2 linked regions of the Drosophila melanogaster genome follow. The protein of the gene in region 1 interacts with the protein of each later gene in a pairwise test. Each region holds a gene or a part of one and is shown on either strand. Other genes may lie near its edges. The genes, in order: CG3088 and CG4069.

Region 1 (15,279 bases):
ATTTTTGTAAATTGTTGTATTTTAATTCAATTCATGCGTGACCCGCATAATCTTTATTCGCAAAAATGCAATAATCATGGGGAATGCATTAATTAGTTGCCAGGCTGAAAAGTTATGTGTAAATTACAATTTCAAATATTCATTTGAATATGGAATATAGGCGGCAAAAATGAACGGCAAACAACCAGAAATAATAATAAAAATCGCATAATTATGTAAAAACCCTTGGCACTTGTTTCCAGTCGTTTATATGTATATTCATACTCTATATACTGTCGTTAATAATTGAAAGTTAACGCCAGACTGGGCAATTTCCCTAATGACTTTTCCGACACAAAAACATGCAGCACACTTTTAAGCGCATTAAGCATCCGCCCCGTGGGACGGTCAGTGTATGAATTTCCCTCCCTGGATAAATGAAAAACGATGCCGTGGCCCAAGGAACAGAAGCAAAAACAAGTGTCGCCATTTTTCACTCTACACTCGGCAGTTGGCATTCGTTGAGTTTCTTCCGAGTTTTTTTCTCTTTCCCAGTTGCCTACGGATTTCGCTGGTGGGCAGCAATTTGCGCACATAACTCATTTGCATAAATTTACACACTGACTTTAACGTATTTGCCCCACCACGCTTAACGCTACCACACCCACCGATTTTCCATTTCCCATTTCCCGCAGCTATCCTCAACGGCGAAAGTGGCCCGATGGTTCCAACAACTACCCTGGCACACCGCATCCTTGTCCCGTCCGGAGAGCGGCTTCGTTTCCGGCGATTCGCGTTCGGAGAAGTATCAGGAGGATCATTTCTACGGCGGCATCGCAAAGGAGACGGATGATTTATGCGATGAGTTCCTGCTGGTGGAGGGCAGCAGCACCATTTGGACAAAGCTGAGCGCCAAAAAGCGTCGTAAATTGCTCGGCATGCGGCTGGGCAAAGTGACAACGTTCTGAGGAGGTCCTTGTTCACATCATCGTCCTCGGATTCACGTAATGTGTGCGTTTATTAGCTGTTAAGTGAGTTTTTAGCATAGCCCTAAGTGTAGCTTTGATAAATTTCTGCATAGGCATAGCTAGCTAGTATGAAAACCAATAGACTAAAGGACCAAATTAACCCAAACGAAGCGAAACGAAACAAAACGGAACGTAACGGAACGACATGCTCATTGAGATGCCATGCAACAGGCATAGGACATAAGTCAATTAGTGAGCATAAAACGTAAGCTCAATGTGTATTTAAGTATTAACTGAATAGAAGTATTTGGGCCAGTAAGGAAACACGGTGAGAATCTTGTGGCCAATTCATTAGGCGAACAAGCCACGCACATTAATCATACGTCACGTAGCCAACCATACACACCTACTGCCAAAAGCCAAAAGAGCATTAACTTGACCAACTTTTCGTGTACGAGAAAAACTGGTTATTAAGCTAAGCAAACAAGGGCCAGTACCACAGCAGCAGATTCAACAGAAAAGGCGGTGAAAACGGGGAAAAACAGAATGCGCAGGAAGGAGCTTTTCCGGTGCACCCCGTACCAAAAAGATCAAATGTTTGATATTCATAAATTTCAGCCAGCTCCACCGTTTTTATGCATAAATCGATTCTACTTTTACGCTTGGCAGTCCCTTCCTTGCCCGTTTTTTTCCCGTTTTTTATTTGGGTAACTCTATAAATTTAAGTCAGCTGCTGAGGGAAAATGCAAACCGAACTTGCGGCATACGCGGCGTATAAGCAATTTACTCAAAATTTATGAGGATTTGTTGGCTATAAAAAGCGGGGTTCGTAGGGTAGCTAGACACATACTACTTAGGTGGGTAGCTGCAAAGGTGTTGTACTGATTGCACTTCACCCTTGATGGGTTAAGTTAGGGATAGTATAGCCAGTTAGGGATAGTTGAATATGCAGAGATATCTGCGAAACACTGACAATCATGGGGGTGAACGAAATTCTGCAATTTAAATTTGAGTGAAGCTAAAGCCGGCCAAATGGTTTTCAATCATCATCAAACTCGGTCGAGTTTTTATTGCATTATTTGGTAGCTCTTTCGTTTATTGCGCGGCATTACAATGAAAACTCGATTTTCCTAACGGTTTTATGACATTTTCGCAATTTAGGTACGAAATTTATAAATGTCAGAACAAAAACACAAATTAATTTACGTAAAATGGTTTTAGTTAATTTATGCAAAACGATTTTTGAGACTGAAACTGAAATTTGTACTAAGCATAAAAACAGGACACAGAAACACACGAACACTTCACACATCACACATACTCGTACATCCATTCATGCATTTCGCAAACAATTGCGACAAATAGGAAAAGTTTTTATAAGCTACTTTAGCCTAGCCTTTAACCAAGTTGAATAAATATAAGTTGCTCTGGTTCAACGCAATAGAATAAAGTGAAAATAATAAAAATTAAATGCAACATGCTGGGCAACATGTCCTTATTCAGGTCCTGCCACTTCCAATGCCGCCGCTGCTGCTGACACTTTACAGTTCAATTAATTTAACGCGCTTTGCATGTAATAGAAAGGCATTGCATATCAGCGGGGCCAGCAGACAAGGATGTGCCAGGACATGGCGCCGGAGGAGCCCAGTTCGCAGCAGGAGGGCTTGGCTCGTATGGAACGGCTGTGCCGACTAACAAGCGCATTCTGGCCAAGTGGCCGGGGCGCGGAGGAGATATCATCTACGCAAACTAGCATGGGCTCGACTTGGCAATACCCCCCACTGGGATAAACATATATTCCCAGCTTTCGTAGGTATTTATGGTTAGTTGTACTTCGAAGAGAACAGTCGTTGGTAATGTCAAGTCATTCATTGCTGGGAATTGATGAAGCTTAAGATAATATCAAGATTAAAAATAATAAATGTATAAATAAAATAGCAATTAAACTTTTTATTGAGTAGGAAAAAGACTCATCCTACCAATTACGGAGTAACACAATTAGAAAACAAAGTGAAGGCACCTTTTGTGCGCTCATAATTAAGGACACTAAGGACACAACGCAGCGCACTAATGGAAGGCGCAAAAATGTATGAAAATGAAAAGTGAAAGTATAAGTCAAAATGAAAAATGGCCTTTTTTTCCCCGCTCACATGGCGAATGCGACATGCGATATTTTGTGTTTTCGGGGCCGAGCTGTTGACACTTTTTGGGGCAGCGGCAGACATAATTACACAGAGGTAGGCCGCGATGTGACCCTGAAAGCAGGAAGTTCACTTTGTGTCATGTGACAGCCAGGAGAAGCAGTTGAAAGTGCCGCGTGTCCTGTCCAACGTCATCGTCATCCTGTGGCCAAACTAGCAGGACTCGCTGGACTCGCTGGAGTCAGAGAAACGGACACCGCACACTCACATGGCACATTCATTGTCACTTATCGCGTGGGTGGCGCGTTTAATTCACATTTTATTTCCAGCGCCCGTGGCTGCGCGCGTAATTGTTGCTTCAAAGTCCTGGCCAGGACACGGATGTAGTCAGTCCGCGTTGGCGCTGCACGGCGGTCGTGTGTGCGCGGTGAATAATCGCGATTCGCAACGTGAGTGTGCGCTCCTTTTTGGCCATGCAGAACGACGAGGAACCAGCAGCTGCAGCCGGAACTTCGGGGCTAAGCAATGGAGAATCCTTGCGGAGTCCACCGGCCCCGGCTCCACGACGACCCAAGCCAGGTATCCTGCGACTGGACATCGGCAAACCGCGACGCTCATCAGGTGGTTCCGTCGATTTCCGATGCGTGGGCAGCAGCAGCAGCAATGGGAACACCAGCAACGTGGCCACTGGCGCCAACAGTGAGGTAAGTGAGCATGATTTACGGCCCATTCGGGAGTGCTTACGATTTGGCCTGACCAACAACGACGACACGGTCTACGGAATGGCTATATCCGAGAGCGGACCAGGAGGATAGGTGGGAACAGCAAGTGCCGCTGCCACAGCCAATAGCCATAAACACCAATCGCACTTAACTGGCTTTCGCTTCTGGCCGGGTTAAGCAATGCAGCTCGACCCGGTTGGCTGTTAAAATCATTTTGTTTTACAACCATCGGTGGACAGGTGGAGCTATTCTTAGGTCAATGCAGAAGTTTCGCTTGACAGGCTTAGTAAAACTTAGAACTTAGAATTTTTCGAGCATTGGTTTTGAGGCTCTTAAAAATGAATTTTCAATTTAACTGCATTAAAAATTCTGTACATTTGCATAATTTAAGTACTGTCTCTCTTTTGCTTAACCAAGCCTCGACTCTTATCTCCTCTAAGTTGTAAACATTGCTAATGAACTGAACGCATATCATGTGTGGTTTTCCTGGTCTAACTTTAAAGCTCATTAGTATAATTTGGCAAACTCACTCTACATATGCATGCAAAATCTCAGATCACCGGAGGTCTCTACTTTATGGTAGTTAATAAACAAGTTAAATCACTTGGCTACTTAGGCAGCAGGTAGCACAGCAAATAGCACAGCCAACTTCACATTGCCACACAAGGGTATCCCAGTGTTCATTAGGCCAGACATGCGACATTGGCCAAAACCGAGTGGATGCGGATGGGCACACCCTGGACTCGGGGCTCGGTCAGTGGAGGAAGCGGGAAATTGGGGATGGGATCGGTCGAGTGGGGCAAACATTTATTTAGTCATAAAGCTGATGCGTAATCTCAACAAGCCAGGCCATTCCAAGTGGGTCAGAAGTTTGTCAGTTCGCACGTTCGAGTTGGTTTGGTTGCTTCGACTACACACACAAAATTCGTCCCCACACCCCAAACACAGAGAAACAAAAAAAGTTGAGAAAATGTCGCAGCTGAACGCGGAGACCCAGCAGAGGCACTTCATCACGCGCAGCAGTTATGAGGGCGCCTGGGATAGATTGGTGAATGTGATGGACGGATTTGGAAGCTACCGCTATCCGGATGGGAGCGAGTATCGAGGAAGGTTCCATCAGGGTCAGTTCCATGGCTATGGCCATTTGCGACTCGCCCAGCCGTACCGCTTTACGGTTAAGGGTGAGTTCGAGCATGGTCGCCTGGTGACAGTGGAGGACATGTGGTTTTCCGACGGTCTGCATGTGGATGGCAGATTTAATGGCATGGTCTTGCAGTGCGATGAATGGGATTACCTGACGCCCAAGGATCGGCGTTATCATGCCGAGCGTCGTTATGGCCAACAGCCGGTTGGCCCCACTGCCTTTCTTACATCGAAAATGCAACCCAGAAATATTCCCGAACATTGCTATGATGTGGAGGAGGGTCTGTTCAATAGTAAGACCTGCTGGTTGACGGACCGTCCGAGTCCGCTCCATCAATTCATGTACGTGAGCTGCCCGCAAGATAAGGATTGGATTAAGAAGAATTGCAGGAAGGCGAGAACATCGCGTATAATTGAGCCACCATCCGACTTCTGTCGCCGCATTATAGCCAACAATTTGGCAACGGAACGAGCACAGTTGCGAAGCACGGCCATATATGCACCCAATGGACAAGTGGATCGGGAGCGATACTTCCACAAGTTGACCAAAAAACGTGGACAGCCGAATGAGCCGCTGGAGAACATTCCAAGGCGTCCCATGCCCGTCGACGATCCCGCCTGGGAGACGGAGATGTGTGTGCGTGCCTATGCTGGGATGTTGGATAAACAGCAGAAGGATCAAATGGAGTTCAAGCGCGTGCATCCTTGCGCCAAAATGGAGACGGTGAAGAGACCACGCCGATGGTCGAGCACCTCAGATGTACGCAATCCGCAGTCGGGTGGACCCTCCAGCTGCCAGACGGACAGCTTTGGCGAGGATGAACTGGTCCTAAACTTTGAGGAATCATACCGCTCGGCCAACAACATGATGAGGAAACGGACGGCGGATAACATAAATGTGGTGCAATCTAATCTAATACGCCGCAATAGCTACATGGACATGACCCGGTCCATATTCGAGTTGTAGATCCGCCGATCAATGTCTTTATATATGTTTTTTTCAATTTAAAATTTAAGCTTAAGAGCTCGGAGAGAAAATGAATGCAATTACTTTGTAATCTGAAAAATAAAATTCAACGTTTTTAAAGTTTCTTAGAATACTCGTAGTATTTGTTAATAGTTTAATGGTCAGTAGGATCATATTCATTTTAAGTATATTTTGCATTAGTATTCAGTACAACCCACCGGACTTTGCTGTATATTAGCCAATTTTTTTTTAAAGTAGAAAAGACCTTATAAGCAATAAAATATCTATGCAGGTATTGGACATTTTTTATTAAATGTTGCTACTATTTGACCCATTAGTAGGCGATTCCAGTCCTTTGATGGATCCAATCCAGTGCGCTGGTGATCCTAGCAAATCCAGCGGGCAATCCCAAGGTGCACCCGTTGGAGGCCACAAATGCGGAAATGCCCACCACGGTGGAATCCTGTTTGGTGATCAGGGGGCTGCCGGCATCGCCAAAGCAAGTGGATCTGCCGCTGGGCGTACGGGTGCACAGGATCTGATCGGAGACGGTGGTGGATCCGTAGAAGGCGATACACTCGTTATTGGACATTATCTGAAGGTCGACGCATTGCAGCGCATCGGTGAGTCCATTGCTGAAGGTGGTCACTCCCCATCCACAGACATTTGCCCACCAGTTCTCGTAGCGCTGGGATCGATTTCTCAGTGATGGAAGGGCCACCCGGTTGACCCGGTTGCTGAATCCGACTCGAGGAACTCGAACCAGGGCGAGATGTTGATTACCCGTAACGTACTCACTAGTTCCCACTGTCACCGTAAACTGGGCCTGACTCAGCCGGGTGGCTCCAAAGTAGATGGTCACTCCGGAACTGCCCGTTAGACACTGAGCGGATGTAAGGATCCAGGTGTCGCCTATAATAGTGCCACTGCACCAGATGTTGCTCTGTCCAAAGGCCATGCCCACCACATAGGGTGCCTGACCTTCATAAGCGGGGCTTCCATTGGTTATAATGTGATCAGGATCCTCGGAATCCTTCTTAGCACTTCCTGCTGCGACGAGAGTGAGACCCAAGAAAACTACCAATAGCTTCATGATTTCAAGCGAAGGTTGTTACTGCCTAGTTAAACTGACGAGTTTATATAGATATTCACTGGGTAATTAGCGAACATTAGTGAAATTTCTTTGATTATCTTGAGGGGCGTTACTCATTTAAGTTATAATTATTTAAGTAAATTGCCATTAGTGGCATCATATTAGTTCGGCAAAACTTGTTATCTCAAATAATATATAGTAAATTATTTGAACACCCATTTCAACGAACATTTACTCAACTTTAAAATTGTTATTTTTGGTATACAGTGTAAATAAGCTTTCTAAAAATCATGGAGCAGAAGACAACAAAATCTTCAAGCATTACCCAGGTTGATATTCTGTTGACTGGATCCAGATACGTTGGTCCCAGTGATGAGTTGGGCATGCAGGAGATGGGTGTCTACATTTATCCGGATGGGACATGCTACACGGGAGAGTTTCTCAACAATCGTTTCCACGGAAAAGGCACCATACAAATTCCTGATTCCTTGGGCGTTACCTATCAAGTAACCCATCACAATGGCAGACTGGTCTCGATCGATCAGGTTAACTTCAATGATAGTCTGCCCGTCGACTTTGAGATGAAGGATCATTACACGATGAGTTTCAAACCCTGGACGTATTGCACGCCGGAGGATCGCCGATTCTACCAGGAAACCAAGGAGCCTATGGATGCCGTCGGTCCGAATAAGTTCCAGTCCAAGGACGGACCAAATCCGCTCAACCTGGGTCGCAATATTTTCGATCTGGGCTTCGGACTGCTGGGCAATCGTGGCTTCATGTTGGATACAAAGACGTTTAGCAACCAGAGTATATATCTAGGATGTCGGGAGGCTCGTCGCTGGATCCGAGAGAACTGTGCCCATGGACCACTCAGCAAGCGTCACCACAAACAGAAGTTATTGGCCCGTTTTGCCCGTGAGATCATCCGGAACAATCAGGAGAATGCAGGCTGCAGCCAAAGGGAGTTCATGACCAAAATCCATCCTTGTAAGCACTCCACCAGCTTGGATAGCTTCGCTTCGGAGCGTCTCCATCTGGCCAGCACTACGGATTCCACGACGTCGGAGGCTCAGGCCATGGGTTTGCGTCATGAGGAGTTCCATGGCAATTGGACAAGAGCGAAGAGCGAGAGCAGCGTGTGTCGCATCAACTGATTGATCCTTTGAATTTTTTGTTACTTTCGCTTCTACTTTTCGATGTGGCCTTAAATTAATATATTGTAAATCGTTGGTTGACCCACATTCTGTGACCAACGCCTCCATGTTAGGAGCTCTAGATTTATGGCCAAGTCGCGAAAACTGCAGGCGAACATGGAAATCCACTTAGGCCTAAAGGTGTGTGCTTTCCTTTTCTTTTTCTTTTTTACTAGGTCATCGGGTCCATGGCGGCATTGAACCTTTGGCTCAAATGTTACCTTAAACCTGGAAAATTGTAAACATTTAGGCCTAGGCCACCGGCACAGCGGGTAATGAACCCATAATCGCCGAACATTATTGCTACACGTGCACGGGGGCGTAAAGATAAATTTGATGTTAATTAAAGCCGGCCGAGAAATCCATTTAATTAAAAGGAACGAAAGTGAAATCAGAGAAAGTGAAAGGCAAAACACAGAGAACACAGTGGAGAGCGCCAAAACATATATTTCAATAGTGGGCGCTCCCCCAGAAAAGCACACAAGCTAACACACACACACCGGAAAATGGGGGAAACAGGCAAGAGGATAAAGTCCGGGAAAAACCTAGAATTTCGCGATTTTCTTTATCAACCCTTGCATGTTTGATTTTCATTTACATGGCCGGGCCAAGAATACAAGGTGACTCAATATCACATACACACAAGCGCCATCTAAATGGACATTCGAAGTCCTGGCTGGTTACGCCCGGATACGGCGTTGTTATCACATGCCGTTGGCAATTTTTACACTCATTCGTCTTCGTTCCAACAGGGCGAGGAAGTCAGCCACTCGGACCCGGACTCCCGATCCCCTTCAGCCACCTAGTCGCAATGTCCTGCCGCATGTCCATGTAAATTCCTTTAGAGTGTGTGCGCTTGTGTGGGTTTTGGGCACGTTTTGGCTTTGATAAGTTGCCCATCGTGCGGGGCGGGGCGGGGGGTGTTGGTGGTTCGTTCTTCATTCATATTCATTCATTATTAGAAAAATTTAAGTTTCACCTGTCTGTGTGAGGTGCCTTCGTGGTCGCCGTCCCTTTGGATGATGGTCATTTTGTGCCTTGGTAGCCCTGCCAGCCAGCTAAGCCGTTCAGTCTGCGCACAAGGCTGCTCCAAAGCGCTTCGGCTTATAACTGGCTAAATCGGGAGCAAAAAGTGCTAGCTTGTCCATTAAAGGGATTTTCTTTGAGGGCACTAGAAGAGATGTAACACATAAATTGCACAGCAGTGAAATTAATAAATAAGCACTTAACAGCGAAGGTCATTCCGCACGCAAAGAGTACCAGTGTGATTTGAGTAATTAGCTGTCCCGGAACAGCACTTGAAAATTAGTTGAGTTAAGCTGCTGCCCATCCATTCGTAGAACAACTCGGGAGTCACATCGCCTCATCAACTCTCTGTGACCTGGGCACCGCCATGCGACTTGGATAGAGGTGGCTGGCAAATGCAGAGCAGCGCCGATGCCAAGAGGGAATTCTACAAAGGACAGCGAGGCAGGAGGTGAGTCCTTTAAAGGGATACCTTGGACCATCACTATCTCGGTCTCTGCGTTTCTATTAACTTCCTTTAAAGAGCTGCGTCACAGGAGGACCACAGATCCTACGAACTGAACGGTGCGTAACGTATATCTGGTTAAATATATATAATAGCTAGCAAACCAAACTATAGTTTTTTATTAGTTGTTATATACGCTTGTTTAGGTATTTTATTTAAACATTTAATATTTAATAAGTTAAATATCTTTATTTGTTTCTAGCATTATTGATTCTATAAATTACCAACAATTTTTTTTTTTAATATTTTGCATTAAATTTTGTTATCTAAATAAAAGCATTTAAACATTTTGGTTAGCAGTTTTAATGCAGAGTAATCTTTTCTGTCTGTGTTTAATATAAAGTAACCAACTAATGACCAAACACCACTGCCACTCCAGATTTCCCATTGCAAAACCAGAGCAGCGACGCCGAGAGTTGCCACCAGGAGCCTCACTTTGCCCACCAGCGTTCGCCTGGAATCGGATTCGACGAGGATGGCGGCGGTGGCGACATTGACGATGAGGAGAGCTACACAATTTCCGTATCGGCAATAATGCAGAGACGTGCCAGTGTGCGCGGCTATCGGGGCAAACGCGGCAGCCGGAGTTCGCGACGTGCATCCAGTCCCATGGATCACGTTCTGGACAGTGTGGAGCGACGACGCTCCAGTGTCTATACGACAAGTTCAGGCAAGTCTGTGGTCCGTGGCCCATAAGTGTCCAGAGCAGATTTCGTTTAGTTAACGAGCGGACTGCTCCCCGGTCCTTCTCGGTCATCCTCAAGTGGCAAGCTAATCAACGTCTGGGGGCCTGTTTTCTGTAATTTTTCATGCTACGTGCGGACCGTTTTGATGGCGTGGCATACGGGGCGTATGTGTAATCTGTTTGCCTTGCTTTGACTTTCGTTTTACTTTGCAGAGGAGGGCACCAATCAGGAGTCAACGCAAGAGCAAATCTTTGAGAACATCCGCCTGCACAAGGAGGTCATACAGTCGGTGAAGCTACAGCCATGGCCCATCCGCAAGAAGCTCAAGTTGGTGCGGCAGGTGGGTATCCATGGTTTTCAGATGGGAGTGGAATTGAATGGGGGATTTGCCCAAAAACTGGGCGCGTTCGTTTTCACGCCGCTTGTCAGGTCGTTGAAAATGTTACGACCGCCTATCCTTCCTTCCTTGCAAACCTCACCGAACACTCATCAAATGCTGAGCCAAACTTTTCGATTTCATTCTTTATCTCCCATCTTTCGCTACACCCTGGAATTTTTAATGATGTTTGGACTTTGCGGATCCTGCGGCTCCTTGTATGTGTTGACAGGCCAAAACATATGTGGCACGCCACGAGGGCGCGCTCCAGGAGCGCTTCGCCATGTCACGCAGCACCAGAGACTTGTGGGCGAGGTTTAAAATTTTAATGGCGGCAGTAAGTGATTTTGTAACCCCCTTCTTTATTATTATTTTTTTTTTTTTTGGAGGAAACGCCTGCAGAATGCGAAATGCAACGAGCACAAGGCGAAAGGCCCCCAAGCCATGCAAAAAAATATTAATGTTTACACAATTTATGGGCCACTTTCCGGTCGGGACGGACATTCAATAAATCCCCACTGTTCGCATAGTTCACCGAGCTATGTGAGCCCCATGGCATTCTCGCTGTGCTGGGAGACCAATTAAAATGCGAACTTGCCGACTGCCATTCCTTTCTAGAAATAAATCCTTTCTTGCATCCGACATTTTCTGCAGCGATGGCGACACTGGAAACGTGAGACGGCCAGCTTCCTTACCGTCCTCATTCCCTGGGAGCTGCGCATCAAGGAAATCGAATCACACTTCGGCTCCGGCGTAGCCTCCTACTTTACATTCCTGCGATGGCTTATGTGGGTCAATATCATGATTGCCATTCCGCTGGTCGCCTTCGTCATTGGCCCCGAGGTGAGTGTCCTCAGAAGTAGCCAATTCGTTTGCCACACACTTTACACACAATTATGTTTCCGCTTGGCTTTGTTCCAGTACTTTGCCACAAAGCACGGCGAAACGGATCCCAGGAAAAGGATGTCCGACCCGGAGGCTCGGGTGGCCGGCAATCTTTTCACGTTCTGGGAGTTCGAGGGATACCTGAAATATTCACCTATGTTTTATGGGTAAGCCAGACTGGTTTTTTGTTGGACAAGGGCTAAGCTTCCCTTTCAAGTCAGTCTGTTTAAAAATAAATCAATAATAATTCCTTTAATTCATTTGCCTTTTTAACATAACATAACTTTGGAAGAAAATTATGTTCTTATGTAAATATTTATTTGTTCATCTTAATTATAAATTAGTTATGAGAGCTCTATTAATTGCTGGCAATATCCCAATATCATCCCTCCTCTTGTTTTCCTATCCCCCAGATACTATTCAAGCACATCCGGCATTAGCACGTCCGGATATAAGCTTCCCTTAGCCTATTTCCTTACCGCCGTTCTGGTCTACATCTACAGCTTTGTGGCCACGTTGAGGAAGTGAGTATGGTGGGAGCACAAAGAAATAGGGGTCAAGGGGTCATGGGTATGGATATGGTTCCCAGTGTGTTGGGTAGGCACTTCATTAAATACTTGGTCATCGAAGCCGCAAAAAGTAAACTAAATGTCAGACTGCTCGTTAATTAATTAAACAAAACTAAAGCTCTGATTAAATAATACAAATCTTGGCCACGAGGCGTGTCTGGGGGTCTGAAAAAGTTTCGACGCCTCAAAATAATCAAAGGAGAAAGCATTGGCCATTATGATTTACGCACGCACACAACAGAGCACGTGCCTCGAAGGGGGCTGGCAGTGAGGGGCGGGACAGGAAACGGAAACGGCAAAACGCCATTTTGAGCATTGGGCGTCTGACACGCTTTAATGGCTTTGTCGGCATTATGTTGATTTCGTAATTGAACAAAGCAGCAATGTCAACAGTGAGCAGCCGGCACTGGCCTTTCCATATAGCCACTTTTGCGGGTCACGTGCTCAACGTGCGTGGATTAATTCAATCGCAATGCTATACGGGATTCAAATTGTGGGAATTGCGGGTATTTCAGAACAAATTATGACTGAATTTCCACTTTTGATCCATCGACAGAATGGCGGAAAACTCGCGCAACTCAAAACTTTCCTCGAAGGACGACGAGTGCGTCTTCTCGTGGAAGCTCTTCACCGGCTGGGACTTTATGATTGGTAAGTGGCCGGCGTTGGTTCCGCAACGAGCTGCCATCATCACAAGTTTTGCATCTCCCACAGGACACGCGGAAACGGCGCACAATCGCATCGCATCCGTGGTCGTGGGCTTCAAGGAGGCACTGCTGGAGGAAGCGGAGAAAAAGAAGGATAATCGCAAGTAAGTCGCTGCCAAACTGAAGCTATTTACTTACCATAATCGATACGCCATGTCCTTTCAGCTGGCGGGTCATACTCCAGAGGATACTGGTCAATATACTGGTGATGGGGCTGCTGGGCTTGTCGGGCGCTACGGTCGTGCTGCTGGTTAATCAGTAAGTGGATTGGGGAAATGGCGATGAAATATGCACCGAAAAATACTGATTTAAATTCGTTGATAAATATTTATTTAAATGAGAAATTAAACATTTATATGAATTATTTCAAAATTGCTTTCTTCTGTAATTCTTTTTATTTACAGCTCTGAGGATTTGGCCAAGCATGACAACTGGCTGAGTCGCAATGCGGTGAACGTGACCATGACCCTGCTCTCCTTCTTCCTGCCCATGATATTCGAGGCACTGGGTCTGTTCGAGAACTGGCATCCCAGGCAGCAGCTGCGTTTGCAATTGGCTCGGTAATAAAAAAACCAGTGCTAATGATAAATAATTGTATATAACTGAAGCGCCCTCACTTTGCAGCATTATGATCCTGAACATGTTAAACTTGTACTCGCTGATGTTCTCCTTCATCTACAAGATCAACAGCAAGGAGAAACCGCTACAGATGTTGAAATTGGAGAACGAAACAAACACCATGGAGCTAAAGAATCTACTTAGTTCAATTGAGGCTCTGAGGGCCATGACACCCACGACATCGCTATATGGTGAAAGTACTTCGGATGGGCTATTCGATGACTCTACATCAACGGCAACTTGGGGTGAGGATGGTGGTGGCCTCTTTTCGACCACAGCGGCTGCTGCCTTAATCTCCACCACCGTGCAGCGTCTCAAGTGTTACAACATGACTGTAAAATGCTCAAAGCTGCGGCGCAACATCATCAGTGGCAAGCACTTGGCCACCACTCTGATGGTTCTCAACCTGACAACACCAGCCATGGTGCCACCAACTTTGCCAACCACATTGCCCACCACATTTCCCACCACATTGCCCACCACATTACCCACTACATTACCTACAGCATTGCCTACCACATTGCCCACCACATTGCCTACTACATTGCCCTCCACATTAGCCACCACAACGGCGACGACTTCAAGTATTTGGTCAACCACAGAGGAAACATCTCCGACAACTACAACGACATCACCTTGGACCACGTTACCGCCCTCGACAACAACCACTGAGGCAACCACAACGACTGAAAGAGCCACCACAACCACAGAAGCAACGAGCACAACCACACTGAAGATCACCACTGCCGAAATAAATAGTACACTATCAGATACTACAAAACCCCTGGGAAAATCTATTGATACTGAAATACCCAACTCAACAACGAATTCTGCCACTTTGAGCACAATACCAGCCACTTTAAACACCACTAATTTACCCCTGAACAGCACCACCAAACTAACTACAACCACATCCACGGAGAAGCCCCAGGGAGAGGATAACTTTATCTACACCACCGGAGAAGATGAGGGCTCCTACGATTATGGCAGTGATTCCACATCAGACGCTCCGGATAATAATAGCTACTCCGATATAACGGATTACTCTTCGGAACCGTCGGAAATTGAAGATTTCGATGAACAGGAAAGCACGGATCAGGCGGACGATCCACTGGCCAAAGTATTGGAGCAGCTCGATGAAAATGAGACGAAGGGACGCAGGAAAAGGGCATTGGCCGAATCACCATTCTTTACCAGCAAGTACAGCAGGCGACATCGCAATGAATCCGCTGTCTCAGCTGGACAACCACGAGAAACCACTGAATCGGTGAATGCCACACCCAGTCGGTGGCCATTTAATTGGGCATCTTTTAGGCAAACCACACCGAGAACCACCACAACAAGAAGAGTTCCCAGTGGAATTCTAACCAAGGAGGAATGGGAAAGACTCAGACGACTTAGGGGCAGGATTACCACAACTACCAGTACGTCCACCACCAGCACAACCACAAGAAGACCCAGGTGGAGATATCGAACCACGACTACCGAACTTACCAGCACCACCGAGGAAGAATCCTCCACAACGGAGAGTTCCACTGATTCATCGAGTCCAGGGAGCACTACCAATGCCTTCGACAGCAGCAGTAGCACCACCGAAGAAGATGAATACACCACCACGGAGGGATCGGAGAATAGACCCTACTATGTGGGCTACGTGGACATATCGGAAATGGGAAGTACTATCTACTACGATGGAGA
Region 2 (16,213 bases), 2.9 Mb from region 1:
TGCGCCCTATTTTGGCTCTAATTTTATTAATTATGCTTTTTTTTTTATATTTCATATGCCCAATGAATGTTGCGGAATGCAGTATGTAAGTATTACTATGTTTTTGCAATATAATTATACATAACAATTTAATCGATCAACTTGCAAATTATATATCTAAATACCAGTATACTATCATAACTATGAATTAGCCTAAGAATAAAAGCTCTTCCTACATAAATCTACAAATATTTCATATCTAGTTTTAAAGTGCCTTTCGAAATCATAAGTACTTTTGGGCAAGTAAGAATTGGAACAGATTGGAATGTTAGAGATTTAGCTATATAAACTTAAGTTTAAGCGATCCTCTAAAATATTTCGAATAAACCAGTCGTGAGATAAAGCAACATCACCCTTGGAAAATGCTGTTCTTAGCCACCTTGAGATAGTCCTTAAGAAGGCTTTTCAAACTGCTAACCGTGTGAGATATTCGCAAACATCCTTTTATGATCATGAAGCAATAACGGATCAGGGCAAACACGGTTAAATGTCGCACGACCTAGGTATTGGAATCTTCGCAGCTGGAATTTCTGGCCACTTTGGGTATGCGATGCGATGGGATGCGAGGGCAGGAAGGATTCCGCATCCGAATGCGAATCTAAATCCACGACGATGCAGTGGTTCGTTGGTTGGCGGTGTGGAGGATCCGGCGGCGAGGCAAATCGCTCTGTTTGCTTGCGGTGTGCCAATACAATGCCAAAGCTGAACGAGACACAAGAATTTATGGCATTTCACTTTCAAAGACACAAAATTCCTGTCCCTTGCCACCATTAATGGAATGGACAATAAATTTAAACGTGCAGACGGACAACGTGCCATATGTAAAAAGGCAAAGGCTCAAGAAACTGAAACTCAAACTCAGACACTGTAGCGGCAACTTTCCGAAATGGCTAAAATCGCTCCGCAGCCCGGCGAAGTGCGCGTGAGACGATTTGTAAGCCCGGCCCAAACCGGTCGCTGCAAAAAACCTTTCAGCATCTGCCATCCAGTTGGCTAACAAGGCGATAATCCACGGACAATGCCAACTTCGATGCGAATCTCGGCCCTTTTATAATTAAACGCAGGCGGGGAAAGATGAAGACAGCTTGGTTATAAATTCTATTTTCTAATAATTGCGGGAATAGCAACTGCAACTGCAAATACCAACATCAATTAATTATCTAAAGGAAATATCTATCGATTAGCTAGTAAATAGTATCATAAACTATCTTGTCAATTCTTCATTTATTTAGGATTTCATTTACGTTGCCAGAAAGTAAAGGCATTTTTTTCATAAATTAATAGTATAAAGTGTAATAAATATTAATGAAATATTTCATCACATTTTATGAGTTAGAAAATAACTTAGAAACCCTTTTCACATCGAATCGAAAGATATGCCAAGGCTAATCCAATAGAAATCAATCGAGATAGCAGCAAATGCTGATTGCTTTATTGTTTTCGCTGAGCAAACTCAATTCATTTTTTGCCACCATTGTCGCATCGTTTGAGAATTTAATTCGCCTTATCTAATGCGCTAAAAAAATGCGCTAATTGAATAGAGAGGAGAGTCGGCAGAGTAGCACTGTAACCAAATTATATACACATTCCAACGCTGCTCCCGCTGCCCCATCTGCCAGCTTCTCGCTGAGATTACCAGATGCCCAGTTCGCGATTCCCAGCTTGCAGCTCCTGGCCGTGATCATTGGTTGTGGTCGAAAGACAATGGACGAGATTAAATGCCAGCCTGGGCAGATTAAGATGCATCGACAGCAATAACTACGTCAGCGGCGGGAGCTGGGAGCTGGAAGATGGAGATGGAGCTGGATGTGGATGTGGAGCTTCTTAAACGGGAGACACGAAACAAATTTCCCTTGAAAAGAATTACATACCGATCGCCAGCATCGGCCAGACTATGGGAATTGACTGAAGATCTGAAACTCTATTTGTTCTTGGGCCGTTCCCGTTTGCGATCTTCCGATCTTTCGATCCTCGCGTTTGTCGCGTTTGTCCAGTAAGTCCAGAAAGTCAGGAAAGTGACCGTCTTCATTGTCAACACATGGTGGATATATGTATGTATACATACATGTACGTGGGCTGCAGTGCGGCGGCAAACAATTCTATAGAAAATCAGACATGCACCGCCGCGCGCCGAGATGGAGATGCACTGGTGCTGGCGGGATCTGGCCAAGATCTGCGCGGCCAAGATGCTCCAGCTTCGGCTACAGTTCCGTCCCAGCCAGCCAGCCAGCCAGTCAGCCAGCAAATGGCTTATCGCTGCCGAGCGAATCGTTTTGCCATACTAAATTATTATGTTAACATGAAAATAATTGAGGCAACAGGCATTCGGCGGTGGCTGGCCAATTTATTTATATCGCTGAATCTCGGATACGGCAGCTGGGTCGAGTCCTCAACCTCAACCTCGTCCGTGTCCCTGTCCGCGGGTACGATGCCGAGTTCGGCGGTCCAGGGACCAATTGATGGCGGTACAAATAGTTCCAGAAGTGGGGCATCTGCGTCGCGATTGGGACGCCGACTACCGTTCAGATGGCGTGTTCACAATTAATCCCTCAACAAATATCTGTGAAAACTCAAAAAAAAAGGGCAGCTAGCAATCAGCTAAATGTAACTAGCAATAAGTAAGATGGATTTAAATGGCTTAAAACAAAATGCTACCTTGAGTCAGCGATACTCTATATTATGTGATAAGTTAAATAAGTAGGACACTATAATTCCAATGTAATTCAATTTCAAACGATTTATTATGTAATTTACATTATTATATGCATACTCTACTGCCGAATATCCATATATAAATATTTAAAATAGAATAATACACTTCTATATGCTTTAAATAACTAAAATATGTTAATAATGTCACATTACTTAGTTTTAGATTTAGTTTAGTGGTTGCTTTGAATTTGGTCTGCTGCCTGCGCATCATTATCATGAAATTTGAAAAATTCCCCTAGACAGACATACTAATCCCCTACTAATTCCATTTTCAGACCGCTCTACACTGGGCAGCGAAGCACGGAAACGAGGATGTGGTTAAACTAATTGCCGGCACCTACAAGGCGGATGTGAATGCGAGAACGGTAAGCGATTATCTAAGATGCAGACGTGTAAACTTCATGATATTAAAATGCCCCATTATTTCCATGTGATCGCCTGCGCCAACTGTTGACTTCGCTACAGAACGGGGTGAGTATGTGTGTGTGTCATGTGATGTGTACATCTATTTTGGCCATTTTAATAATATATACGAGAGCCAACTTATTGGCTTGTCCCAGTCGCGCGTGAATCGGCGTCATATGTCACCGAATCGCGACTCGAAACATAACCCTTTCCCGCAGGAATTCTGCATTTCGGATAGAGCAGGCTGTGACAAATCATGACGAGCATATCCAATTGGGCCTCACCAGCATGTCACCTTCCTCCCGGGCAACGCAATCCTTTCGAGTTTACAAAATTTTAAATTGAACGTCGCTTTGTTCCGGCGAAATTAAACTCACTCAATTGTATTCAAATGTCACAGCCACATTTCAAAAACAAAGTGAATTGTCAATCACAATCCGCAGGATTCGATGCGCCTCTTGCCCCAAGAAAAAAACACAAATCCCAAAATGGCAAAACACGCATTTGATAATTCACATGGGAATTTAGAGAATTTAACTCTTTCAGCAGCTTGAATTTTAATTCCTACAAAATGAATAGTTACTAGAATATTTTAAAGTATTTTATGAACTATTTAGTTTGGGATTTTATAATTTACATTGAAATTTAGAGCGATTTAACTCTATAAATAGCTTGATTTGTGATTCCTACAAAAGTCTAGGTTACTAGAATATTTTTAAGAATTTTATAAACTATTTACTTGCATTTTTTGATTTACTACTATTATTATTATTACTTTTATTCAGGGATACACTCCTCTCCATTTGGCTACCCAGTTTGGTAGGGATAATATCTTTGAATTACTCTGGAATGTCTACAGTGAGTACTAATATTATTACTACAACCAAAATACCACATTTAAGCAAGCAAAAGGTCATAAAAATTAATAAATATTTATTCATAATTTTAAATGCTTATTATATTGCTCGAAATCCTTTGAAACTTATAAATACTTTGAACTTTTAAATTGACTTGCTCATGTGCTATTTATAAACTTTACTGCTTTCATTTACTTAAGAGTTGCAAAATGAACTGAATTATTTGTTGTTGTCCATCCTGCAGAGGCCAATCGGGACATCATGGACTGGAGCGGCAACAAGCCACTGGACTACAGTCGCCAGCGGTCGAGCGTCTCGGCATCGACGTGCAGCAGTGAGTATGCAAAGTATTTCTTCGGTGCGGATGTGGGCAACAGCTTCCGCACGCTGGGCTTCATTGAGAGTAGTCAGATCACCGGCGGTACACTGGGCAGTGCACTAACACGGGGCAAGAAGCGGGCCCAGAATCGGTTTGCCACCATCAGCGGTGGTTCGCTTGGCGGCGTCGGTGGTGCCGTTTCCCGCTCCCAATCGATGACGGTCAGTCGGCGGCCCAAGAAGCAGCCGGGTCAGCCGATCTCGGGGATCTTTAAGCCCGCCACCGAGGACGGTGATCTGTTGCCATGCGAAATGGAGGGGCAGCCGGTGCCATTCCGTGGCGCCAGCACGCGTCGCAAGGAGAGCTTCCTGCGCAAGACCTTTCGAGCCACCGCAGGTGGCAGCCGTCGGCCGTTGGCCAAAGATGTATTTACTAACCCACCGGAGCACGGTTAATTGCTATCCTAAAATCTATCCTAAACATTGCGCTAATGTATACTACTTATATGTATGTCAAAACAATGTTACAACAATTGGTTGGGGCTGTACTATATTATACATTCTATATACTTTTAAACTGTAACTGATCCGGTATCGGTATCTACATATCTATGAAATTTTGTATAATCACTAAACTTTACTAGCTTTTAAGTACCAAAGCATGGCCTTAATATAGTATATATTTTTTTACCAAGGTGTATTAACTTAATGTAAGCAATCACACTTTTGTGTACATAAATATTTATAAATAATCGCATGTGTATCGCAAGGAAAAACACAATAAACTACTGGCCCCTTAAAAACAAAAGCATTAATTTATAAATAAGTACTATAATCCTAAAAAAAATTAACTAAGTTTACAAAGAGAATGCGCTTTGGGAGATAATAATAATTTACCCTCGTTTGCAAACATCCATCAAACTTACTGAAATGTAGAGCATACAAACCCCAAATCGACTCAGTAATTAATGTCAGTAAATGGGATCCAATCTATCTATCTATCTATCTATTTTCGATTTTGCTGCATGTAGAGATACAAGCGATGCGATTCAGCGGCGGACTCAACGGAACGTGGAGGCAGGTTGAGATCTAACGATCTTGAGTATTTCAAAACCCTTAGTGTTGATTTTGTGCGATGTTCAATTTATTTTGCTAGCTTTACGTTGAATTAGCCACATTAGCTTTTATATATTTAGCCTGTATATATATATATATATTATTTGCTTTTTGTACTTTGGTAGCTTTAAAACTTGTATTTTAGTTATATTTTGCTAGCATTTGAGTTGCATTTCCCGTTTGCGTTGCCAATTTGGTAAGTTTTCTTTGTATTATTTTCAATGTTTATGCTCATCGCTCGCATTATTTTATAATTGTTTCCAAAAAGTCCGCTAACCAAAGGCAATATTTTTCAGTTTATGCACGTTCATTTGAATATTGATTAATATAAAAAAATGAATAAATATTAATGAAATTTCTTTGTTTTGTCCACTTTGCAGAAATCAAGGCTCGCAAAAAGCATGCAAGTAAGTCACTCTTAAATGCAAATGAAATTTTATGACTAAGTATAATATTTTTCCATTGCAGTCGAAAAAGATTTGGGCTTCCTACGGATTGGTTCTCTGAATGTCCGGGTAAAGAAGACCACCGAGGCGTTCAGCAACTTCTTGGGAGTGGGCAATGGCAGTGGGGTGGCGCCGACGGGCTATGGCAATGGCGGGTCGGCGGTAGCAGCAAATCGCCATCACCCTCGATCTCACCGAGCCCCTCATCAGCGTCATCATCACCACGTTGGTACGACACGGAGTCGCCATCCGAATCAGAGGGCAGCGATGAGCACACCCTATGCCACGAACGGCGGCCTTCCGTCGAGGGCGAGTGTGCCCAATAGCCGGAACATCTACGATGGGGTGCACAAGTCGTGGGGATCGGCGGACAATATACCGCATCGATCGGAGGACCTAATGCCGCCGCCCAAGGCGGTGGAGTATATCAGCAAGCGGAATAAGTCCTCGAAGCGTTCGTCCTATGCATCGAATACCACCGATTCGCCGCGTGATTCCATCTGCTCCTCGAACTCCAGCTCGAATCTGAATGGTGGCTATAGCAGCATGCCTACGACCCCGAATCAGTTGCGTGCTCCCAAGGGGATCGCCGCATCCTTCGCCGTGGACTCCGACTCGGACTCCGCCTGCGGATTCGACTCAACCTGGTCGGTCAATTGTCGCGGTTCCTCGAGCAGCAATCCTTCGCAATCCTAATTACCTGAATATTGTTGTTAGCACAGTCTACATACCACCATACAACTTTTAACATTGACCATGGAATCGTGAAAGTATTTGTTTTTCAATTAACTAATATATATACTTTAAGCATTGACCATTATTTAGACGTTACATTTTCTTGTGTTTGTATCTAAAAGTTTGTATCTTAAAAGTATCCAACATTTGTTATTTCCTATTTTGTGCCCTTTTCTAGGGACATCCAATATAATGTTTCATTTAATATGTGTATTTTTTAATCGAAAATAAAGCTTGTATGCTTTTTAATGCATTTATGAATTAATTGTATTGATATTTTATTTGTTATTACTCATAATACAAATTTACCCGAATTTATTTTTAAATATCCAAATCTCAATATTTTGAGCAAAAAATTCAGAATTTAAATTTTTTCGTTGCGCGCGCACTTTTCAAAAATAACCGTTAAGACATTTCTCATAATACCGTCGAAAATACTGAAAATATGGTAAACTAGAAGACAGCTCTTCCTCTTCTCTTATTTATAAACGCTACACGTGCGGCAAAAAAAGTTTGTTGATTTAAATTTTTGAGCTGAAATAAAACACTTGACATGGGCAAAAAGGACAAAAACAAGAAGAAGGGCAAAGGGGCCGAGAAAACGGCCATGAAAACGGACAAAAAGCAGGCGGCGCGGCAGAAGAAAATGCTGGAAAAACTGGGAGAAGTACGAACAAAAAAATGCAATAACCATAACATTATGTTTACTAAACGAATAATAAACTTCACAGGCAAATATAGCTGATATCATCCAATTGCTGGAGGCCAAGGAGGGCAAGATTGAAGCCATCAGTGAATCCGTTTGCCCGCCACCAACTCCACGATCCAATTTCACCTTAGTTTGCCATCCGGAAAAGGAGGAGCTCATCATGTTTGGCGGCGAACTGTACACTGGCACAAAAACCACAGTGTATAACGATTTGTTCTTTTACAACACCAAAACCGTCGAGTGGAGGCAGCTGAAATCGCCATCGGGACCCACGCCCAGAAGTGGACACCAAATGGTGGCTGTGGCCAGCAATGGAGGAGAACTCTGGGTAAGTTATCAGCTAAAGAGATCTCCGTGAAAAGTTAATTACCATATGCACTCTACAGATGTTTGGTGGCGAGCATGCCAGTCCCTCACAGCTGCAGTTCCATCACTACAAGGATCTCTGGAAGTTCGCACTGAAATCCCGCAAATGGGAGAGGATAGCTGCGCCCAATGGACCAAGTCCTCGGAGCGGACATCGAATGACCGTCTCCAAGAAACGCCTGTTCATCTTCGGTGGCTTTCACGACAACAATCAGTCGTATCATTACTTCAATGATGTTCACATCTTCTCTTTGGAATCCTATCAGTGGCTTAAAGCGGAGATAGGAGGTGCAATTGTGCCATCTCCACGTTCCGGTTGCTGTATTGCAGCTTCTCCGGAGGGAAAGATCTACGTGTGGGGCGGTTACTCGAGGGCCGCCATGAAGAAGGAGGCGGACAGAGGAGTAACACACACGGATATGTTTGTCTTGAGTCAAGATAGTAAGATTTAGAATCTCTGATTTATATTACTTATATTAATATCTCCTGTTTCCGTTCAGAAAACGCCGGCGATGCAGACAACAAGTACAAGTGGGCACCCGTGAAACCAGGTGGATATAAGCCCAAGCCGCGTAGCAGCGTCGGCTGCACTGTGGCTGCGAATGGCAAGGCCTATACCTTCGGTGGCGTTATGGACGTCGATGAGGACGACGAAGATGTGCACGGACAGTTCGGCGATGATCTCCTGGCCTTCGATTTGACCTCCCAAACATGGAGATTGCAGGAGATCCAAACTAAAAGCAGCAGCGCTGAGAAAAAGGATTCGGAGGAGAGCAAAGATGTGGAGATGTCGGCTGTTGATAAGCCAGTGACCACCACCACGGATGGCATTTTCACGGTCACCGTTGGCGGTCCCAGTACCAGTACCACGCCATTCGTGTCCAAAATACCCAGCCTATTCGCCAAACCCAAGCCGACGAATGTGCCATCTCCGCGCATGAATCCCGGCATGTGCGTGTGCAAGGGAACGCTGTATATTTTCGGTGGCATCTTCGAAGAGGACGACAAGCAGTTGACCTACAACGATTTCTACGCCCTGGACTTGCACAAACTGGAATGGAAGGTGCTAATCCCCAATAGCTTGAAGGGCCACGAATGGGAGGATAGCGACAGCAGCAGCTCCGACGAGGAGTGCAGTGGCAGCGAGGAGGATATCTCCAGCAGCAGCTCGGACATGGACACGGATTAAGAATTTCCAGTGACTATATATTAAATTTGGTTAACAATTGTACACATGTATAAAAATGGAATATTTTCAACTGCTGAGTAAGCTCGAAATTCTCACAGCTCCAGAATCTCGGTGAGAATGCGTTGCGTATCCTTGGGAGTATATACCCTATGGCTGATGGTTCGAGGATCGCTATAGATCTCATAGTCATTGCCGCCCGGCTCCGTTTTATCGCCAAAGAAGTGGATTTCCTTGAACTTGTAGTGCGCTTCGATGTGTCGCAGGCAGTAGGTCTTGTCCCAACCATGCGGGAAGACATCGAAGCTGATCTGACCACCAATCGAGTACGTGAGATCCACATCGGCAAACTCCTGCTTCAGGTCCTTGATCATTTTCTCGCGCACCTTGTGCTCAATGTCGTACTCGGCGAACATGTTGCGCTCCTCCCGAGTGCACTGCCTGCCAATGGGACAAACGTTCATCATGCCATTCCGGAATTCGATAAAGGTGCCCCTCTTGATGGGCACATCCAGTTCGGACAGATAGCGCAGCACAAAGTTGATGAAACGCTTCACCGTCTCCTCGCCCAAATGCATGATGATATTCTGCTTTCCCACCTCCTTTCCGCCCTCAATCTGCACCAGCCCATTTTCCGGGAATATGAAGTCGAACTCGTTGAGTATCTTCCTGCCATTCAGCTGCTCGAACATCTTCTCCAGATCCGAGCCTCCGACGATTCCGATGGTCGCCCTCGGCTTAACCCGCGAGTAGAAGAACTCCTCGAACTCCGGAGTGACCACGGATCTGGGCATCGTTAACGTGCCGTCCACGTCGAAGAGCAGCAGGATTTCATCACGCTTCAATGCGGCGGTGGTCATTTTGCATTTAAATTTTGTGGTAAATCAGCAGGTGTTTAATATCCAGATATTTATGTCCACGTATGATTCGAGATAAAGAATTTTACAAGCGGCAACGCAGTGGTGAGAAATCCCCTAAAGCTTTCGATGCACCGGCAAGGGGAACCAGTTCCGGAATCCAAGTGCAATCAAAATTAATGTTTTGAATTGCCTTTTACGTTAGGTTTACTATTTAAAACAATGAGAGTATAAACATTCAAGCACAATCATTTGGATTTTCCTGCATGTATAGGTAACAGTTTAATTCATGGAGTTCATGCTGTCAGGGTACAAATAGTTTCTATTTTAATAGCAATTTGTACATTGCAGTTCTTTATCAGGCAAACTAGAATACACATATTTGGGTTCTTAAGTGTAGCATAACAGGGGGTTCTACTGCCTTTTAATGTGCTGCAGTTCATCTCTCTTGATTTTGCTGTATTCCTGCAGGGTTTTGTATTTCTCAGTGTTAACCATGGGGTCCACAATGACGGGGTATAGGGTGAGGCCCACGGCGCCCACGATGCAGGACACGAATCCAACGAATCTCCAACCACGCAGGACTGCCATTTAGCTAAAATATGGAATATTTTAGCTGACTTTTCGGTTTGTTATTATAAAACACAAAACACCTGGTTGACCGTAAGATGCTAGAAAACGCCAAGTGTGTGGTCACACTACTGTGGTCACCGGTGAAGTGCAGTAAATACTACAGAAGAGATAACCTGATAGAAAGTAAAATATAAATAAACAAGATTACTGTATATATAATAAAAATAGATATAGGTATAGATTAAACTAGAAATATCCTGAATGCTAAATATGTTTCTTGATTCATATCTCACTTAAGCATTCTCCACTGTGTGTACCTGTTGGTATTTTTTGAAATCATGTCTATTTCTGCCCGCTCTGGTTACACTGGCTTCCTTGAGCTGGGCTTGGGTGTGGTGTTTTGTTTGAGTAATTGTTTTTGCAGATAGATCTTTTTAGTTAATACACTTATTAATATTCTTATATCCCGAATATGGCTAGCAGCCTCGTTTTTGTGGCTCTAGTCGGCGCCTTATGTTTTACGCTCGCTAACGGTAAGTTGCGGCTGGAATACGAAAGTCGCCCATTTCTAGGGCGTTGGCATGAGTTAAAACCACGATTTTGCAGCACAACATCACTACGATGAGCACAAGACCACACGGATGGTGTGGTGCACCAAGAGCCAGGCGGAGCAGTACAAATGCCAGAACCTTACGGTGGCCATCGAGCGGGATCGGGCACTATTCGACGAGGTGTTCCTCAATCTCACCTGCTTCATGGCCTACAGTGCGGATGAGTGCATCCATCACATTGATCGCGAGAAGGCACACATCACCACGCTGGATGCGGGCGATGTCTTCACTGCTGGACGGTACAACTCCCTCATACCCATTATGCAGGAGAAACTGGAGGGCGGCTTTGCGGACTATCAATCCGTAGCCGTGATCAAGAAGGGATCTCTACCAGACTTGAACAATCTGCGCGACATGCGCAACAAGAGGGTGTGCTTCCCCTGGGTGGGCAGCTTGGCCGGTTGGATTGTGCCCATTCACACGGTGAGTAGAACTCCTCTTTTAAGTTGATTGTTTATTTGTTTCATTAGGCAACTAACAAACAAATTTTATCGTTTTGCAGCTCCAAAGGGAGGGCGGCATGGAAGTGGTGGACTGCAACAACCAGGTGAAGACGGCCGCCAGCTATTTCAATAATTCGTGTGCTGTGTACTCGCTTTCCGACAAACACAATCCAATTGGCGACAACTCCGATAAGTAATGACGCATAAAAGCCACAATTTTACACACATTAACTAACAACAAATCAATTTTCAAACCAGACTTTGTACGCTTTGCACTGGAAAGATACCCGGAGGACGCTGCTCATCTGCAGATCCCTACTTCGGCTACGAAGGCGCCTTCAAATGTCTGCTTGAAAAAGGAGATGTTGCCTTCTTGCGCCATTCGACTGTGAATGAAATGCTGCAAACCACCGAATTCAGTGAGTTACCAAAGGGAAACTTCTGAAAACCCATTACTGATCTAAGCTGCGTTTTTTAGAGAACATAGCACCCGACACTTTTGAGCTGCTGTGTCGTGATGGTCGTCGTGCCTCCATCAACGATTATCGCCAGTGTAATTGGGGCCAAGTGCCCGCCGATGCCATTGTCACATCTTCGGCTCGCAGCTTCAGCGATCGCAAGCAGTATCAGCAGTTTTTGAAGCGCATTGCCGAGCTGTACTCCGATGGCACACGTGATGATCAGAGCAGGCAGGGAGGACAAAGCTTCAACAGCCGCAACAACATCAACGATCAGAATGCCTATGGCCAGTTCGATAATAATGATCCGTACAGAACGCAGAATCAATACGATCAGTATCGCAGCGAACGATTGGACAGCAGTTTTGCAGAGGAAAGAAACCAGCAGGACGGCACGAACACTTCCATACTCTATGAGAAGTTCCGCATCTTCGAGTCGAAGCGCTATGGCAAGCCAAATTTGCTGTTCCAGGTAAGTGGATCATATTTTCCGTGATCCGAAATACATACTTAACATTCAATTGTTTTGTGACAGGATTCTAGTCGCGCTCTAACCGTGATTCCCGAAGATGATCAGTCATTTACCAAGTACCTAGGCCCTGCCATTAACTTTATCTACGGCATCCGTGAGTGTCCAGTTCCAGCGATGACGCTTTGCGTGACTTCGGAGAATGAGCTTGATAAATGCATCAAGATGAGGGTGAGTTGAAGAGTGAATATATGGATAGCAAGATGAGTTGATGATCCTTTACAAAAACACTTTTAGACTGCCTTGAAAGCTCACCTCCTGAAACCAGAACTCATCTGCAAGAAAATGCACTCCCACATCAACTGCATGCAGTTCATCGAAGCGGGCAAAGCAGACATCTCCGTTTTCGATGCCGGCGATGTCTACACTGGTGGCCTCAACTACGACCTGGTGCCCTTCATGTCGGAGGTGTACAATCTGGGCGAGCCCGAGTATTATGTGGTTGCCGTGGCCAAGGAGGATGATCCCGATACGGAGCTAACTTACCTGAAGGGTAAGAATACCTGCCATACGGGCATTAACACCGCCGCTGGCTGGACATATCCGATGGCGCTTTTCATCTCGAACGGCTGGATTCGTCCCTACGGATGCGATTCGGTTCGAGCTGCCGCGGAGTACTTCACCAAGTCGTGCGTGCCGGGTGCCATTAGCAATGAGTACAACACCGGTGTGCCCTACGACAGCATGTGCGATCTGTGTCATGGAACTAGCTATCGCTATTGTCGTCGCGATGCCTCCGAGGAATACTACGGGCACACGGGTGCATTCCGTTGCCTCGTCGAGGGCGGCGGTCACGTGGCCTTCATGAAGCACACCACGGTGATGGAAAGCACGGGCGGCAAACGCAAGGAATGGTGGGCCAGGAATGCCCTAAACGATGACTTTGAGCTGCTCTGCACGGATGGTACTCGTGCCGAGATCCAGGACTACAAGCGCTGCAATCTGGGCAAGGTTAAGGCCAATGCTGTGGTCACCCGCGGCGGAGTCAACTACAACGAGACCCAGATGAATGCCTACATCAATCTGCTGACCTATGCCCAACAACTGTACGGTCGCAAGGAAGTGGACGCCTTCAGTTTCAGCATGTTCTCCTCGCCGATCGGGCACTATGATCTGATCTTCCAGGACGCCACGCGGCAGCTGCAAGTAATTCCGCCCAATAAGCGCAGGTATGATGCCTATTTGGGCAGCGATTTTATGCGAGCACGCCGCATCACCGACTGCTATGCTGGTGCCTCCCAGTTGGCATTATCCGTGGGCCTGCTCCTCGTGGGTTCGCTGGTTGCAATGCTCTAAGCCACTAGACTCACTTAGATTTCAGAATTCTACAAGCATCTCTAGCACAAAGAGAAAACATATCAACATTTTTACATTCCAAATATGATTAAGTTAAATGTGAAATCCCTTCCGTCCGAAAATGAAACTCTAACTAGCCGAAAAATATCTGTTGAAGGCTATAGTTTATAATTTATAAAGTCCTGTGCCTTATTATAGTATTTGTTTGTGTACATACCAACTAAGACCGTCCAAAAAATGTACCTAGGAGATGTAAGCCGAATCTTTTACAACCGCTTATGTAAGTATACAAATAAAATAACTAGATAAAGGAGTTATTTTGCTTATTTTGAATTAGTATCATTTGAAGAATCCTAATATCTTGACCGCAATTGTAGCCGCCAAATTCAAATTGAATATGTGCGCTAACATCGCTTTGAAACATAGATGTTATTGAAATTTACGCTGGTAAATATTGCATTTAACCTTAAAACACTCTGTATTGTTTATAAAGCCAGTAAAATGTTTGAAATTAAAGAAAATAGCGTAGTTACAAGTTTCAGCGCAGTGTGACCGCTTGGCCGCATAAGCAAGGGTGGAACAGTGCCGCGAAACGACGGTCACACCCGCCTGCACACATCTGTGGAATTGTTAAATTTCGAAAGTCCGGAAAAACCGGACGGAACCTTTCACCTCGCTCTGGACCAGTGGCACCGCCCTCGAGTATCGCAAGATGTCTATTAACCTGCGCACCGTCTACGCCTTCGCCCGCGAGATGTACCCAAAGACCTCCAAGGAGACCATCCAATATGGAACAGCTGGCTTTCGCGGCAAGTGAGTAGTTGCCTCCATTAACGATCTTAATAATCATCATAATCATTATGCTAACACACCCACACGATGCACACGTTGGCGCATTTGATTAGCACACGGCGATTGTTGGTGGTTTTTTTTTTTTTTTGATAAATGGGCGGTTGCAGGGCTGTGATGTTGGAATTTGGCGTTTATTTTTAGATATTGTTCACCTTTTATCAATGGACATGCCCTTCTTTCGCCGTTATGTCTGCCTGTATGTGCGTAAGTGTGCGTGCATGTGCATATGTGCATACATACTGACGCACAGTCGCGGGCAGCGAACTAGTGCCACATGTGCAAGTTGCAATATTTTCAAATCTCAATGATTAATAACTTGTTATTTGTGAAAAATGAACCAACTAAGTATTTGATTACATAGTTTGTGGTTTCCGCGCCCTTATTTTCTAACCACTTTACAGCCAGATAACAAAGTTTCCATGACACACCTACTGATAAAAGCAATTGCAACGCCTAAAATGAGCAATACACAGTGCTTCTATAGGCTTATCAATCCAGCGAAGATAAAATAGATAGCTAAAGTGATAACACACATATAAACAAACAACATTAGGTACAAAACATTTTCCAACTCCAAAATACAAGCTAAAAGATACTTTTGTATCTAAACAAAATCCTGATGTAATAACTCCGCATTTTTTTTTTAGGGCTGAGTTCCTGGACAGCGTGATGTTCCGCATGGGCGTTCTGGCCACCCTGCGTTCCCGGTATCGCGGAGGCTCCGTCATCGGTGTGATGATCACGGCATCGCACAATCCGGAGCCGGACAACGGAGTGAAGCTGGTCGATCCCAAGGGCGAGATGCTGGAGGCCAGCTGGGAGGCGATAGCCACCGATCTGGTCAACGTCAGCGACCAGGAGCTGGAGCAGCAGGTGGCCAAGATCATAAAGGACAACAATATCGATGTGACGACCAGTTCCCAGGTGTTTGTGGGCATGGACAACAGATACCACAGTCCGCGGCTGCTGAAAGCGGTGGCCGATGGCGTGATAGCGCTAAAGGGTAACGTCAAGGAGTACGGCATTGTGACCACACCCATGCTGCACTACTTCGTGGTGGCGGCGAATACCAAGGAGGCATACGGCAAGCCCACCGAGGAGGGTTACTACGACAAGCTGATCAAGGCATTCGAACTGCTGCGCAACGGGCGCCTGGAGAACGGCAACTATCGCAATAGCATCATCTACGATGGTGCCAACGGTGTGGGTGCGCGCAAGATGCTGCAGTTCATCAAGCGCATGAAGGGCACCCTCAACGTGACGGTCATTAATCAGGGCATCGGTGTCGGCAAGATCAACGAGGACTGCGGCGCCGACTACGTGAAGGTGCAGCAAAGTCCGCCGAAATCCATGCCCGAGGATGTGAAGCCGTACACGAGATGCGTCAGCGTGGATGGCGATGCCGATCGGGTGGTGTACTTCTTTACCGACGACAAGGGTGAGTTCCATCTGCTCGATGGCGATCGCATAGCCACCCTAATCGCCGGCTATCTCATGGAACTGGTCACACAATCCGAGATTAGCCTACGGCTGGGCCTGGTGCAAACTGCCTACGCCAATGGTGCATCCACGGACTACATAGTGGACCAGCTGAAGTTTCCCGTTTCGTGCGTACCCACGGGCGTGAAGCACCTGCACCACAAGGCCTTGGAGTACGACATTGGTGTTTACTTCGAGGCGAATGGCCACGGAACGATTGTGTTCA

What was found.
Region 2: the proteins of CG3088 (region 1) and CG4069 interact in a two-hybrid assay, tested with the Drosophila melanogaster proteins (one large-scale study listed by BioGRID).

Annotation. Positions count from the first base shown.
Region 1 is NT_037436.4:9,594,293-9,609,571, forward strand, and holds CG3088 (uncharacterized protein), read right to left. Parts: upstream 7,034-15,279; 5' UTR 7,014-7,033; coding exon 6,255-7,013; 3' UTR 6,198-6,254; downstream 1-6,197. Other genes in the region: Tmc (transmembrane channel-like), read left to right, coding at 3,562-3,792, 9,550-9,686, 9,759-9,799, 10,120-10,410, 10,639-10,766, 11,035-11,139, 11,457-11,645, 11,724-11,854 and 6 more; CG3222 (uncharacterized protein), read left to right, coding at 4,781-5,920; CG3306 (uncharacterized protein), read left to right, coding at 7,304-8,170.
Region 2 is NT_037436.4:12,528,191-12,544,403, reverse strand, and holds CG4069 (uncharacterized protein), read left to right. Parts: upstream 1-7,088; 5' UTR 7,089-7,181; coding exon 7,182-7,295; intron 7,296-7,359; coding exon 7,360-7,665; intron 7,666-7,723; coding exon 7,724-8,144; intron 8,145-8,203; coding exon 8,204-8,892; 3' UTR 8,893-8,978; downstream 8,979-16,213. Other genes in the region: sowah (sosondowah), read left to right, coding at 83-85, 3,027-3,116, 3,217-3,222, 3,942-4,014, 4,258-4,782, 5,828-5,854, 5,916-6,589; Pmm2 (phosphomannomutase type 2), read right to left, coding at 8,985-9,749; CG34242 (uncharacterized protein), read right to left, coding at 10,161-10,337; Tsf2 (transferrin 2), read left to right, coding at 10,792-10,852, 10,926-11,353, 11,433-11,566, 11,632-11,792, 11,852-12,303, 12,367-12,531, 12,598-13,656; nst (nesthocker), read left to right, coding at 14,369-14,469, 15,156-16,213.